3 linked regions of the Ovis aries genome follow. The protein of the gene in region 3 interacts with the protein of the main gene of each other region in a pairwise test. Links are inferred from orthologs where the notes say so. Each region holds a gene or a part of one and is shown on either strand. Other genes may lie near its edges.

Region 1 (5,838 bases), on a different chromosome or scaffold from region 3:
CCCCATACTCTCCTCCACGCTCTTAATCGTCTGTGACCAGACAGTGCTGTGGAGGGCAACATTAAGAAACCACATGTTGCCACAGGAGAAGCCTCCTTCAGCCTGCAGCCTTGGGGAACTGTGGGCTGCCGAGGACTCGCTACCTCCTTCTGCAACCTCAAACCATTCTGGCTAATCACGTAAGAGAGAAATAAACTTCTTACAGGTTTATGCCGTTATACACTTTGGGATGTATTATTACAGCATGTAGCCCATGCGTGACTGTTGTTAAAACATGGGCTATGAATCAAGGATAGTAAAACAAACAATCCAATGTTTTAAAGGACAAAAAACTTGAACAAATCCAGTAAAGAAATACGTATGTGTGTATTAGTCAGTCATGTCTGACTCTTTCTGATCCCATAAACTGTAGCCCACTAGACTCCTCTGTCCATGAATTCTCCAGGCAACAATACTGGAGTGGGTTGCCCTTTCTGCTTCCAGGGGATCTTCCTGACCCAGGGATCGAACCCAGGTCTCCTGCATTGCGGGCAGATTCTTTAGCATCTGAGCCACCAGGGAAGAAATATTGTATACCAGAGGTCAAATAGGCACATGAAAAGATGCATCACTGGTCATCAGAGCAAGGCAAATATCACTTCTTATTCACCAGAAAGGCTAAACTTAAAAGAATGACAATCCCAAAGGATGGCAGGATGTGGACCAATGTAACTCTCAAACACTGTTGACAGAAGTGTAAAATGGTAAACCACATCAGAAGAAGGCTTAGGAATTTCTCATAAGACATTCACTTGCCTTATCACTTACTCGGCAATTCTATTCACAGGCATTTTTTAAGAGAAATAAAAGTATATGTGCACAAAAAGACTTATATAAGACTGTTTATAGAAACTTAATTCATAACAGCCACACACTGGGAATAGTCCAGGTGCCCAACAACAGGATAAGGACACGGTGCTCTAATCAGACAATGGTGCTCTAATCAGCAGCAGTACTAGTACTCAGCAACACATGCAATGACAGGAACGAATCCTAAAACATTTTTAAAAAATCTTAAAACATATTTGCTGAATGAAAGCAGTGTTACAAAAAAGTTCCTAAATCAATGGTTAAAAAGCAAAATCATCAGTGGTTGCCTGGAGCAGAACTGCAGGAGAAGCAGGGAAAGATGGGAAATGGCATGAGGAAACATTCCAGGGTGATGAGAATCGTCTACATCTTGATAAAAGAACCAGATTCACAGGTGTTTATATTTATCAAAAAGCACAGATTGGTACACTTCATATTTGTATATTTTTGTATATAAATTTTGCCTTAAAAACATGAATTAAACAATGAATTCTGGTAATTTGCATCAAGTCTACTGATGTCTACAACATACCCTGAAGTGCCCCTCCAAAACACAGGTTAAGGGATGAATGAAGGGACAGACAGATATGGAATAACATGTTAAAAGAAATTTTTAAAAATGTGGTGGGTATATAGGCATATACTACACAATTTTTCTCACTTTTCTGAATGTTTAAAAATTTTCCAAAGAAAGCATTAGGAAATTACAAAGGGTATGGACAGATGCAAAATTCCTTTGGGAAGTGGGCAGTCTCCTATAAAAATACGCAGCTTTCACTCAGAGCAGCTCAAGTCAGGAGAAACAAGACACCAATGTGCCTGCCAATCAGGACAATGTAAACAGCGCACTGAGATGCATGGGCAGAGGAGACGGAAGTATTTCAACTAGGGGTCCCCAGATTATAGATACACTTTGCAGGCCAGCTGTTTCTCACATGGGTGACCATGTAGGGCAAGTCACCAGCAAGATCTTAATGATTTAACAACAGTTAATGATTCTCCCGAACAGTGACAAGGCAAGCTAGTCTCAACGGAGCCCTTCCAAAAAAATGAATTTTGTTTTATGCGAAACTCACTTGCCCATATTTTTTCCAATTCACCGAGGATTCATGAAAGCCTCCGTGTGAACCAAGATGCAGCAACCACTGGGCATACAGAGAGTCCTGGCTCTAGGAAGCAGAGTCTAATCTTCACTCTGCCACTGACTAGCCACTTGTCCTTGACTGATAAGATGCTAAGTCTCTCTGGTTCACTTTGCCTAAGAACTCATGAAAAGCCAAAACCCTAGTAGCACATAATAAGGAACAAAATGAGAAAAGAGATTTTCCAGGCCCTCTAAAGAGAATGGTAGCCTTCTCACAAACAGGGAACTACAAGGTAACCCATGAGCACTCAGCATTAATCCTAATTCATGAACACTAACCCGGTCTTAAGGAAGAGCACTAAATGGGTACCCTGTCACTACCTAGACGGGTGGCATGAGGTGGGAGGGAGGTTCAGGAGGGAAGGGACATATGCTTGCCTATGGCTGATTCATGGTGATGTATGGTAGAAACCAACACAATATCGTAAAGCAATTAACCTCCAATTAAAAATGAATTTTAAAAAGAAGAAAGAGCGAAGATGAGGAAAGCATGACTCTAGTCCTCTCTGCCATTAACCAGCCGCCATGGGAACCGGGCAAGTCCCGAAGACTCTCTAGGCCAATTTGACAAAAGAAGACTCAAAACAGAAGTGCTCCCATCCCACTCAACCTGCTCACAGATGCCCTTTAATGCTCTGCATCCTAGGGGTACAGGCCAGGAATGACTGGCCAACCACTACAGGGCTGAATTCCTACTCAGCTGTAAAGCTCTTGTTCAGATGTCACCTGCTTTGAGAAGCCTGCCAACCAGGTCAGTCACTCCCTTTACACTCAGCAGATAACCTATATCAGCGCCCTGGCCACGGTGGAAGGTAACCATCTATTCACCTGTCTTGTCTCCCAAACTTGACTTTGAGCTTTCGGCCTCACTGGAATTTGCTCCACTTGCCCCAGCGCTGTGCCTAGCACACGCTGGCACTCAAAGCATAGGTGTAAATAAATGCATTAATTAATCACTAAGGTCACTTTTAGCTCTAAAATGCTAGACGATGTTTTTAAGTGCAAAAGAAATCATGGGTATAAAAATTCTTTTATTTAGCTGTTTAATGCTGTATGTGCGCTTCCCTGGTGGCCCAGATGGTAAAGAATCTGCCTGCAACACGGGAGACCTGGGTTCCATCCCTGGGTCGGGAAGATCCCCTGGAGAAGGGAATGGCAACCCACTCCAGCATTCTTGCCTGGATAATTCCATGGACAGAGCAGTCTGTCTGTGGGCTACAGTTCATGGGGTTACAGAGAGTCGGACACGACTGAGCAACTAACACACAAACAATGCTTTATGTTCAGTGCTGGGGACATGGAGATGATAAAAGACGTTTCCTGCCCCCAAGACACCCCCCACCCCAAATACGAAAGCTGGTAGTTATTGTTTGAGCGAGGGCAAAGCTAGAGCCTGCTCCTGCTTCCCCGTCACTTCCTTTCTTGCAGCTGCAGCTCTCTGCCTCTTTCCCCATAAGCCTTCACTGCTGCCTCAAACTGCAACCTCTGTCCCAGCTGGCAAAGGCGCAAAACTGTAAGCCAACCACCCACGACCTGCAGCCTACCACAAATCCTGCAGGACCGCTGCCCCCGGGGCCCAGAACCCTCTCCCCTCCCGCCCGCGAATGTAACAGCCCAACCAGACGGAAAGGAAGCACACGCACACCCCTAGGCCCCCCGCGATCGATGGTACAGCCCTCCCTCCCCAGAACCTCCGCGCTGGGGCAGCAGGGGCCGTTACTTGAGGACACCCAGCTTCCTACGCGGACCGTAGGGCCGGCTCGGAGAGCGCAGGGTGTACCTGCGCGGCCCTCTGCTCCTTCCAATGTTTCATCTGGTCGCTGGCTGGATCCCGGTTGTCCGCCATGGTGTCTGAGCGGCGCTGCAGAACTTTGCAGGTGGGCTCGGCTCACGCGTCTCCAGCGCCGCAGCTGAAATAGGCGACTTCAGACTCCGCCACTCAGCTCCGCCCCCCCATCCCGCCCCCTCGGCAGGGCCGCCACCTGATTGGCCACTTGAGCTCCAGGCGGAATGGGATTGGAAGCCAAGTAGGGGCAGGGCTGAGGAGCAAGGACTCGGGGAGAGGAGAGGCTGGGGAGAGATAGGAAAAGGAACGGCGCCTCCTCACCTCCGACCCCCAAACTCCAGATTAACTAATTTGGGTTTGGCCCCCGCGTACCCGGATGTGACTGTCTCCTCGGCTTATCAGTATCCTTCAGGGTGCCCTGGGAGGTAGCGGTTGGTGGTCTGCCAGTTTTTTTGAGGGAATGCTTAGGCCCTGCTGGGTGGGGCTTTGAACTCTGGTAACATGCTCTCAGCTCTTAAAAAGCAGAGAAAAAGAAATCCACCGTTGAGTTCCTCTGTGCAAAATGAAGGTTTGTCATGCTCCAATGTTAATAATTTTGTTTACAACTGAAAGGATTGGTGGAATTTGGAATAAATGCAAATACTGGTTCTATATTTAAGTATGACCAGTGATCACACTCGCAAATGTCGCATAATTTTTCTTTGTCAAAGATTAGAGATGACATGTATACACTGCTATACAATGATATGTATACATTTAAAAATGGTTAGCCAACAAGGATCTGCTGTATAGCCCAGGGAACTCTGCTCAGTGTTATGTGGCAGCCTAGATGGGCCTGTAATCTGGGGGAAAATGGATAGGTGTGTATGTATGGCTGAATCTCTTTGCTGTCCACCTTAAACTATCACAACAATGTTGGTTGGCTATACTCCTGTATAAAATAAAAAGCTTTTAAAAATAAAAGTAAAAAGCACAGAAAAGTGAAATATTTGCAAGATCTAAATCTTAATAGTCTAAAATACGTAGGACAAAAACTCAGTCCTTTAGATTCCCTTTTTGGTTTAGAAGTTCCCCTTTTTGAGTGTCTGCTATGTGCTGGACACTGCTGATGGTTGCCAAACTCTACCACTTAATCTTCACAACAAAAAAAAATATAAAGGTCAGTGAAGTCTCCCCACCATGACAGACTATAAACAAGCATGAAGAGGTTGGCTTGCTCCTGATGTAGAATAATTAACTAAGTTAAATAAGATGTCCAAACCCACTATTTATTAACAGAAATGCTGCCTTAGAGTTTAGGAAATGTCTTCCCTAAGTCAATGTGACTAATTTTTGAGGTGTTTGAGCAATGCATTTTAATAAGTGAAATAACAATGTATTTTGTGATATTCCAGAAGAAAATTGCTCGAGTTCAACAGTGCAAAAATGGCTTATTCTATGAAAATATCTTCAATTGGTGTCTTACTCTTGTCAAGACGTTTAAATTAGGTAAAGTGTGAAAAGAGACTTGGTTATACCCAGCTAGAGAGATTGTTTACAAAGTCTGAGACTTGGCATAATAAAGCTGGGGGAAAATGGTCCTCCCAGACCTCAATAGAGATCTGTACTCCTACTACTTCTCATCCTGAGGCCACGTTATTGCTCTTTTCTTCCACTGTGTGAACCTCCCACTCATAGGGCATCACACTTCCCTTCCCCTAGTCGTTTCCATCCTCTTCTGGTCAGGAGTTGCCTTATTCCAAATAGGCTGCCATTCTTTTCTTTTACTGTGGGTTCATATCACTTTTTATACTTGAGCTTGAACTCCGGGAGATAGTGATGGACAGGGAGGCCTGGCATGCTGCGATTCATGGGGTCACAGAGTCGGACACGACTGAGCAACTGAACTGAACTGAACTGAACTGAACTTGGCCTTGGAAATGTTCACATACTCTTGGGAGTCTAGTTCAGTCACATTTGTATAAAAAAAGGATTTTTGTGGTTAGAACTGGTAATCTAACCACTGTCTATAATATTATTTGCATGAGAATAAGTCTTTCAAGCTTAAATTAAGTAGAAG
Region 2 (5,591 bases), on a different chromosome or scaffold from region 3:
GGCAATGGCCACGTGGCCCCTGGCCGGCCACACACTAGAAGGTTCCGAGAGGCCTGCACGGGGATCAGACCCCAGGACCCACTTCTCTAGTCTCTAAGGCCACTCAGGCTGCACCGTCACGACTTCTCAGCTGCCGGTGAAGTCCCCCCACCGTGTCCCTGCCCTTCCTCGATGCTCCGTATGGAACTGCTCCTGATGCTGCTGCTGCCTTCCAGAGGCCCGGAGGGGGCCCCGCCACACCTGAGAATGGGGGAGGCGAGAGATGGAGAAGCCCCGGGCACTGGCGGCCAGGCCGTCTCATGTTCTCCCCTCAGTGCCAGGCGGGGACAGCCAGACAGTGACTCCTGGGGTCAGCAGGGAGGGGGCTGTGGGCCTGGGACCAGGTGCCAGGTCAGCTGTGCCCATTCCTCCCTCGGCAGGGGCCTGGATACTCAAATTAAATCAGTATTTTCTCAAGGAATTAACACTGAACTCTGCCTGCTTCTCTCTCACAAAGCTCACCAGCCATGTCTCCTCCCTTCATTTTCCCAACAGCCCTGGAATGTAGACAGGTTAAGTGTTATCACCCCACTTTAGAGATGGCAAAACTGAGGCCTGAAGCGGGACTATGTCCTGGTTCAAGACCACGGAGAGCTGCTTCAACCCATGAATGACGATTCCAGTATGTAGACAATCACTCCCGGCGGCCACCGTGAGGCTCAGGGGGCCCCTGCCTTCCAGAAAGGCCGGGGTGGAGCAGTCTCCAGCGGGTGTCCTGAATTCATGGACCGCAACACGATTCTCACTTTGTGTGGGAAGTCTCTTTGGGGGGACGGCAGTGGGGGGGGTGGAGGGAGAGCCAGGGGTCTGCAACAGAGGCTGGACTGCCTTCCTGCAGCTGGGTGACCCCAGGTAAGACACAGAACCTCTCTGGGCCACCATGGAGCTGACAGAACAGGGGCGACAGCATGGACGTCTGAGGAAAAAGTGTGCCGGGGCCCGAGGTGAGGCTGGGGGCTTCCTGGGCGGCCCCCAGGGCGGCTTTGGCCTGGCCCAGCTGTAGGTGGTGGAAGTGCACGAAGCGCTGACTGCACGCATAACTCACCGCACTGCCCACACCTGCCCGCTGAAGCCGCATGGCTCCCCTGCTCAGTAGGAACCACAGGGGTCCCTCGTAGGATGGAGAAACAGGCGCAGGGCAGCGTCCTGCACCCCCAACCAGAAAGAGCCAGGTCCTCACACGGGGACAGCCTCGCGGGGTGTGGGAAGACTCACCGTTTTTGTCCGCACGGCGGAAAATCTGCAGAGAAGAGAGGTCGAGTCAGTGTCGGCTGGGAGGGGCAGGCTTCCAACACCCCCAGCCCAGTGGACCTGCGGAAGCCGGGCCCCTTTTCCCTCCTGAGGGAGGAGACCCGGGGGTGGAAGGGTGTTTCAGGCAGTGGCCCTCCAGCTCCCCTCGAGGAGACAGCCTCCCCTCTTCCTCAGGCGCTGCTGGCCATGCGGTCGAGAGCACGCCGCACGGGTGTGTGTCCAGAACCTTTGGCCCACGTGCAGCACCCACAGGCGGCTGCGTGCTCCCCACTCCCGTCCGTGGGAGGCAGCCACTCACCTTACACCCCCACTAGGACCTCTCGAGGGCCTGGTGTTCTCCAGGGAGGGTGGGTTAAATCTGAACAGAGGCATCTGCCAAGCAAACCTCGAGGCCTGACGACAGGATCAGCCAGTGCACGGCGGGATTAGTTTTTTGGGGGTGGTCAGTGGGTAGGAGCAGCCCGCAAGCAGCTCAGAAAGAGAGGCGGGGAGGGAAGGGGCAGCCTGGTCCCCTCCAGCTGCAGCTGAAACCAGATAGCTCCTCCTGGTGTTTTTAGTCCTAGTAAGCCTTGCTGGGGGCTGCCCTGGTGGCTCAGATGGTAAAGAATCCACCTGCAATGTGCGAGACCTGGGTTCGATCCTTGGGTCAGGAAGATCCCCTGGAGAAGGGAAAGGCTACCCACTCCAGTATCTGGCCTGGAGAATTCCATGGACAAAGGAGTCTGGCAGGCTACAGTCCATGGGGTCGCAGAGTCGGACCCTTCTGAGTGACTTAGCACGCGTGCACGCAAGCCTTGCTGAAGGTAGGAAGAGGGGGAGACGCCGCCCCCAGCGTGTGACCCTCACACCTTGGAGAGCGGGAGCTGGGCCCCTCCCTCCAAGCAGTAGGGCAGGCATCCATTGTCAGGCACCCGGGCTGTGACAAACTGAAGCAGCAGCTCAGGAAAGATATTCTCAAACATTCCCCCTTTCTTGAGCTGAACCCCAAGTTGGGGCAGGGGACACAGGTCTGGAGCAGCTGGGGCAGAAAAGGGGGCAGCTGCCAGCACCCCAGCTTGTGCACCGCACACTGCCTGCTCCTGACTGCAAGGTTCCCGAGGAGGCTGGAGTCCCACCTTCAGGTGCCGGGGCCGGGGGTGAGCGTTAAAGTGACTGACCTGACAGGAGATGTGGCCCTGGCACTCGCTCATCACCCCCATTTCACAGATGAGGAGACTGGGGCTCAGAGCCAGCAGCGTGGCGTGAGGACTCCAGAGTCCACGTCCTGTCCTGTGCAAAAGGGGGGGGGCCTGGACAGAGCTGTCCGCTGCAAGGGCTTTCAGCTGCGAACTCACTGGGGCTTTGAGAGGGCTCACCTGTGCAGGTGCGAGTGGGCTGTGTGTGAGCACGTTCTGGGAAGCCTGGGAGCCATGGCCACGTGCGGCAGATCACCCCCTGCCCTGTCGGCTGAGAGCCAGCGATGGAGGCTCCAACAGGAACGTGGTGGGGGTGGAGGGGCGAGAGGAAACCCACACTGTCCCCCTCTCACCAGGATGTGATACACACACCTCTCCCTGAAACCCACCCACCATACATAAACATGGCACCCCCAGCCCCGTGTCACCCACCTCGGAGGACCCTCCCTAGGACAGGCACACCCCACTGCCATGCTGCCCCTTGGGGTGGGCAGAGCACCCCACGGGGGACGCCCCCCCACCCTGCAGAAGGCTCCCTCCTACAGAGGAGAGTGGGTGGGAGGGTGAGGTGGGGCGGTTTGGGCTCCAGAGGACGTGGGGGAGGGGTGCGGAGTGGGGGTGAGGAGGAGAGAGGGTGAAAAGGGGAGGGGGTGAGCAGGGGGAGGGGTGAGGAAAGGGAGAGGGAGGGGTGAGGAGAGGGAGAGGGAGGGGGGAGCGGGGGAAGGGGATCAAGGACTGGCTCAGAATGGAGTGGTGGTCCTCAGAGAGGATGGGGGATGGCTCCAGTCCTACTGAAAGGAGAGAGGAAGGCAGGTGGGGAGGGGGCTTTGCTTTTAAAAAGGTGGTGCCTGAGGCAAAAGGGTTGAGGATACAAGGGCTTAAGGTCCAAAGCTCGGACAAGAAAAATGGCCCTGGACCCAGGGATTGTGTGTGTGATGGGGTGGGTTGGGGGGAGAGTCTTAGAAAAGTAAGGACGGGGGGCAGGGGTCGGTGGGGCGGGCAGGAGCAGGGGCCGACGGCGGTCTGGGACTCGCGTCCCGGGAAGGAGCTGGGTGAAGGATGAAGCGCGGGCTGGAGAAAGATGAGGGTTTGGCCAGGACAGAAGTAGGGGGCGGTGGCCGGGTCGAGGGGCTCCAGGGTCCCGGCTCCGAGAATGTGGAGATCCCGAGAAGGGGAGGGAGGTAAAGGGGTCGTCCCGGTCCGGGGACGAGACGGGACCCGCACGGAGACCGGCCCGGGGGCCGAAGAGCTGGGGGCCGCGCTCTGCACAAGGAGGAGCCGGTGGATCCCGCTCTGGACCCCCGGGGTGCGGGCCAGCGTCCCTGCCCGGGGACCCCTGCCCCTCAAGCAGAAGGGGGTCTTGCAGGTCCCAGCGGGGTCCCGGGAGCGTGGCGTCCGCGTCGCCCGGTGGGGAGAACGGGTCCCGGCCCGCGCGTACTCACGTCCAGGATGACGGCGGTGCCCCCGCGCGGCGAGGCGGGGCCCGGGTAGGGGCCGGGGTCCGCGACGGGGGTGTTGGGGGCGTCGGGGGCCAGCGGCGCCCGGGGCTCGCCCATCCTGGCGCCCACCCAGCGCAGCAGCCCGCCCAGCGCCCGGCCCTGCGGCGGCGGCTCCCGGAGCAGCCTGTGCGCGCCGGCCCTGCACAGGCGCGCCGCCCGCTCGCACATCGCGCCGCGCCCGCCGCCGCCGCCGCCCGGAAGCCCGCCGACCCCCGCCCGGCCCGCGGCCCGCCCCCGCGCGACCCCCTCCCCGGCGCCGCCCGCCGCCGCCGCCCGCGCCCCGCCCTCCCTCCCTCTGCCCCCGCGGCCGCGGCCACGCGGGGACGGGCCGGCGCTGGGGGACGGGAGGGGGTGGGCGCCGCCCCGCCCGGACCCGGAGCCACGTGCCCCGTGGGCCACCGCCCCCGCCCCCGGCGGCCGGGCGCGGCGGCAGGGGGCTGCCGGCAGTGGGCCGCGGGGCTGGGGAGCTAGACCCCGGCCCGGCCACGGAGGGGGCTGCCTGGCAGGCGCGGGGTTTTGGGGGTCTGGCTTCGGGGGTGCATCCCTGGGGGCTGCCCCCATTCCGAAAGTCTCCCCCTGCCCGCCCTCCAGAAGAATCCCCCCTCCTCCACTCCGTGGCGCCGCCGCCGGGGCCGGAGCGCTGTGTCCGGCGAGCCGGTAGCGCCCTCTGCCGGCTGCAGCCCAAGGAACGCGCGCCCACGCACTGGGGCCTTCTCCACTCCGCAAGTACCCACTCGTCCCTTCCACCGGGTGCACGCCCCTCAGACCTCCCCCGCGAGTTAAACAACGCCCAGAACTAGTGTTCCCCACCCCTGGAACACCCTCTTCCCCTTATACTCCCTGCGTCCATCCTTCCAGACTCCCACCCACCGAACCAGAGAATTAAAGGAGCCCCTGCTGGGTGCTAGGCCTGGTGGCCGCACTGGGTTCCAAGAACATCGGGAAAACAGGAGGGCTTGCCTTGGCCTCCTGGAGCTTACAGCCAAGTGGGTGGAGCCAGATACTGGAAGTGAAAGTGAAAGTGAAGTCTCTCAGTCGTGTCCGACTCTTTGCGACCCGTGGACTGTAGCCCACCAAGCTCCTCCGTTCATGGGATTCTCCAGGCAAGAATACTGGAGTGGGTTGCCATTTCCTTCTCCAAACACTGGAATGATCCCACAAGTAAGGAAGAGTGAGAACTGAACTGCAATGAAGGGTGGCACCCTGACCCACCAGAGTGGGTTCTACCTGAGGGCCACGGAGGGGCATATGTCAGAAGAGGCTTCCTAGAGGAAATGGTCCTTATGCTCCAAGAGTGTAAGGAGGAGGAGGAGTTACAGAGAGGATGGGGAAGTTCCCTGGGCTAGAGCTTAGCCTGTGCAAAGGCCCTGTGGCAGGTGCAAGTGTGGGGATCACAAAGGAGCCACTGAAGGGAGAGGGACTGAGTGGGGCTGGGAAAGCCTCCCCGGCACCCGCTCCTCAGTCACATCTACCCTTCCACTTGGGGCACCACCCAGTGTCCCCCAGCCCCGGGACCTTCTCCCACATGACCCTGTGCTTCTGCCCCTGCCCTGACTGGGCAGCTCCGGGGGCAGGGTCCTGGGCACCTGGCGCCCTCCCCAAGCAGAGTCCTCGGACACAGGAGTGG
Region 3 (4,332 bases):
AATTAAGGGAGTTAGGACCTCTCACTCTCTTTCTTGCAAGCACACCTATTTCTGCTGGAAATGAATAAGCAGATAGAAATTATAGCTGCACAATGGCTTTTCTGATTTAAGGAATATCATTAGTCTTATCTTCAAAGCTGGAGTATTATGGCAAAGCTTCAAGGGTACTTGTAATATGTAGTTCTTGTCAGAGTCAATTACTATTAGAACACATTTTTAAAATGTCATTCAGAAGGTGATTTTTTTGAAAGATAGTTTACAAATTTTTTAATAACAACAAAATAAGCCTTTAAGCAAGTGCATTTTCAATAATTGGATAGTATATCCTGGAAAGGTTTCTTCATATTAACCACTGCTGTGTGTAGAACCCAATAGTTTGAATCAATTTTGCCTCCTTTGATACAAAATAAGGATAAATAAACTCATATTTCTTCTTCCCATGATACATATAAAATGTTGGCCCTTAACATTTATTGAGTCACAGACACTTCAGAGAATATGATATAAGATAAGATATGGTACCTTTTCTAAGAAATACAGTCGGATACATACACACAAATATTAGCATAAAGTTTCAGGGATTATGGACTCATAAAAATCTATTTATAGACACTCTAGTGTCAAAACCCTGATCTAGAGGAGAATGTAGGAGGAAAAGAAGTTTTAAGAACTCAAAAAAAAAAAAGAAAAAAGAGCTCAAAATTGAAATCTATGCAAGGTCTAAAGAAGAAAAAGTTATGTGTTTATTAATTTGAAACTAAGTTACTTTGCAGAGTTACTATTTTCAGGAATTTTTTCTATTTTTCTCTTTAATCATATAAACAACAATATATATCTCAAAAATTATTCTAAATTGAACTACAATTCAAAGCACATTAAAAGTTTTTTTTATTTGTTTTTGGTTTACTTTTTACAATGAAAACTTGTACTATATTCATTCAAGATTTCTCTGTTAGAACTTTTGGTAATTTTGCTTGGGTTCCTTGGCAAAAACATTGTAAAAACCAATTCATTCACATCACCCTGAAGGACAATAACCTAAGCCTATTTGTTTCCTTATATGACAAAGGATTGCTGGATTAATGCCCCTCCAGATTCTTGATCTGCCAAGTGCTGTGCAAGATGTTCACGGGTGCACAGAGTATCTGTTGAATGAAGGGTCCACAAGACTTCCTAAGTAAGTAAACAAGTTGCTTACTTGTTTATTAACTTGATTAAGATATAATTCACATACCATACAGTTCATACATTTAGGGTATACAACTCAATGGTTTTAAGTAGATTTACAGAGTTATACAACCATCGAAACAACAATTTCAGAACATTTTCATTAACCCAGAAAGAAACTCTGTACCCATCAGCAGCCACACCCTGCTCCCTACCCTCAATCATTCAGCCTTTGGCAAACTGTAATCTGCTTTCTATCTCAATAGATTTGCCTATGTTTTCACTTAGCATAATATTTTCAAGATTCATCATGTTGTAGTATTAGCACTTCTCTTCTTTTTATGACTAAATAATATCCTACTGTATGGCCAGTTTACGTTTTATTTAGGCATTCATCAGTTGATGGACACTTGGATTGTTTCCAATTTGGGGCTGTTACGAATAGTTCTGCTCTAAACATTTGTGTACAAGTTATTGGGTTGACTAGCCCCTCAGCTTTTAACCAAACAAGGCAAAAAGTAAAAAGAGAAGAATTCTTATAACAAAATTACACAAAATTTGTTTTTCAATAATTTTAGACTTGTCAGGATTCAACCATTTCATACTCAACATCACAAAGGCTTCCTATGACCGGGAAACTGGTATTATTAGTTTATCACAGAATTAGAGGAGGTTAGACCCCTGAGATTCCCACCTTACACTAAGTTAACAAGTTAACAATTGTAATTTGTTGTTGTTGTTCATCACTCAGTTATGTCCTGTTCTGCAACCTCAAGGACTGCAGCACTCCAAGCTTCCCTGTCCTTCACAATCTCCCAGAGTTCACTTTCCATTACTGCTGCTTGAATAGAAGGGTAAATAAAGACATCTAGTGGTCTTGAGGAAATTGTCATCAGACATTACTGAGCCTCTTACAAGCAGCAAGGACAACTGTACACACGGGCCTTGGACAGAAATGATAATATTGAGTGTGACTTTTTAAGCTCCTTTGACTCCCCATTCTGGTCTGAAGTATGTGGTTTCCTCACTAACTCCCAACTGTGTTTTGCTTAAGTTTCAACACCCTTCTGCCATTGAAACTTTGCCCCTGGCCTCCCCCTGGGCAGCTTTCCAAGTTCACACGTACAGACCCCTACTGCGGACCCTACCCTGCCAACTGTCTCCACTCTACCTCTGAGACTCTGAACTGAAGCCTTTATCACAGGCTTCCTTGCTGGATAAATGCCCCTCCAGGTTTTAGGTCTGTTAAGTGTTGTGTAAGATGCTTAGTGGTGAACAATGAGGATCTATTGATGGAGGGTCCATAATATTTCCTATCACTGCCACGTGTGTGAGGATGAAAGACTCAACATGAATTTATGCATTTATCAATTAATAATTGATGACATATTTCTCAAATGATCAAGGAACTGGGAACCTCAACTTATTCCTGAGCCTCTCTCCTTAGTTATTACAATGTTAACACAAGTTGATTCAGTGCAATTGAAATCATTTATCTGATACAGACAGATCGCTGGCATAAGAAGCACATTCCTGAAGATTTGACCCATTAGAATCATCAGACAGAAGATCCAAAGAGGGGTTTTAGCCAACTGATTATTCCTTTCATTTTGTATTTCAGAGCAATCTTACTTTGGATCTCTTTGGATTAGTTTCTATGAAATTCAGTGAGCGTTGCCTGATGCCAGCAGGTAAGGCAAAACCTGAAAGGCTGAATCACAGTTTACTTCTGGGGGGTCCTGCCAAGCTTTGCCACTGTTCCAGAGGAAGGTTTCCCTGGGAAGCCAGTTTTTTAAGATAGTCGCAAGGCTCCAGTTGGGGAATATCAGGATTCTGCCTGTGGTATTTCTGCAACTTCTCTAGTACCATGGGCAACCCAACTGTGGAAGCGTAGAACATGGGCCCACCCTTGTGCCTTGGCCATCCATACCCGTGTAAATAGATAACATCAATGTGCTCTGGGGTAGCTGCCATCCCTTCTTCCAAGATGCGAAATGCCTCATTGATGAGTGAATATAGGCAGCGCTCAAGGATCTCATCCCGGCTAATGATACGTGGTTTGATGTGATATGTTTCCCTGTACTGTGCCAGAAATTGGGAAAGCCAGGGATCAGGTTTGTGAATCCTTCCCAGAGGCTTATCATAAAGGTACCAACCCTTACCTGTCTTCTGACCAAACCGTCCTGACTCACACAGCATATCAGGAATTGGGCAATATCTCCGGCCACCTCGCTTCCGGGCAGAACTTCCTGGAGGCAATGTAGGTCCAGTAAGACCTTGCCCTTTGCGGGATTTCCAACCTATATCCAACCCAGCAAGATCAGACACTCTAAAAGGTCCCATTTTAAAACCAAACTCTTCCAGCACCTCATCTATCTCCTCTGGTTTACTGCCTTCTTCTAATAAGAAGTATGTCTGATCATAATAAGACCTCAGCATTCGATTCCCAACAAATCCAAAACAATTGCCTACAACTACTCCAATCTTCTTAATCTTTTTTGATAAATTCATAACCGTGGCAACGGTGGTGGGGGAAGAGAATCGGCTGGGAATAACCTCTAACAACTTCATGACATGAGCTGGTGAGAAGAAGTGGGTGCCAATGACCAAGTGAGGACGGTTACTGGAAGAAGCAATCTCATCAATGTCCAGGGCTGAAGTGTTGGTGCATAAAAATGCTTCTGGCTTGCATATAGCTGATAGTTCAGCAAAGACACGCTTCTTCAGGTTCATTTCCTCATATACTGCTTCAATGACTAAATCTACACCACTGAGCTCTTTCATAGATGTAGTTAACCTGGGTTTTGGTCCTGACCAAGGGTGGCCACTCTGCTGCATTTTGGATGCTTCCTTTTCCAAGATGGAGGTTATTATCTTGCTTGCAGTCTCTAGCTGCTTCTTGTCTGATTCTACGGCAATCACAGGGATCTGGGCCTTTGCAAAAGAAATGACAATGCCTCGGCCCATTGTTCCTAAGCCTGTAGATAAGAGTGAAAGAGAAGAAGAAAGAGTCAATGGTATTGGAAAATGGGAAATTATTCAGTGAATGGAAGGTTTCTGTGGAAACGTGGCATTCAAAGACAGCAACTCAAGGACTACAGGTAGATTGAATACTAGTTAATGTTAGGAACTGTATTAGGTGCTCCAGGGGGTATAACAATAAAA

The links. The genes of interacting proteins can lie anywhere in the genome.
Region 1: the proteins of EHHADH (region 3) and CAT interact in a two-hybrid assay, tested with the Homo sapiens proteins (2 studies listed by BioGRID, with this or other methods). The link is inferred for Ovis aries from reciprocal best matches to the Homo sapiens genes EHHADH and CAT.
Region 2: the proteins of EHHADH (region 3) and NECAB2 interact in binary tests that used the Homo sapiens proteins (3 or more experiments, as listed by UniProt). The two-hybrid records come from large-scale screens. The link is inferred for Ovis aries from reciprocal best matches to the Homo sapiens genes EHHADH and NECAB2.

The regions. Positions count from the first base shown.
Region 1 is NC_056068.1:63,785,938-63,791,775, reverse strand, and holds the start of CAT (catalase), read right to left. Parts: upstream 3,884-5,838; 5' UTR 3,840-3,883; coding exon 3,774-3,839; exon of another isoform or gene 1-3,773. UniProt on the Homo sapiens protein: Catalyzes the degradation of hydrogen peroxide (H(2)O(2)) generated by peroxisomal oxidases to water and oxygen, thereby protecting cells from the toxic effects of hydrogen peroxide.
Region 2 is NC_056067.1:9,830,090-9,835,680, reverse strand, and holds the start of NECAB2 (N-terminal EF-hand calcium-binding protein 2), read right to left. Parts: upstream 3,884-5,591; 5' UTR 2,939-3,883; coding exon 2,646-2,938; intron 2,566-2,645; exon of another isoform or gene 2,560-2,565; coding exon 2,448-2,559; exon of another isoform or gene 1,663-2,447; coding exon of another isoform or gene 1,589-1,662; intron 1,280-1,588; coding exon 1,255-1,279; intron 1-1,254. UniProt on the Homo sapiens protein: May act as a signaling scaffold protein that senses intracellular calcium.
Region 3 is NC_056054.1:202,719,840-202,724,171, reverse strand, and holds the end of EHHADH (peroxisomal bifunctional enzyme), read right to left. Parts: intron 4,146-4,332; coding exon 2,884-4,145; 3' UTR 1,179-2,883; downstream 1-1,178. UniProt on the Homo sapiens protein: Peroxisomal trifunctional enzyme possessing 2-enoyl-CoA hydratase, 3-hydroxyacyl-CoA dehydrogenase, and delta 3, delta 2-enoyl-CoA isomerase activities. Catalyzes two of the four reactions of the long chain fatty acids peroxisomal beta-oxidation pathway.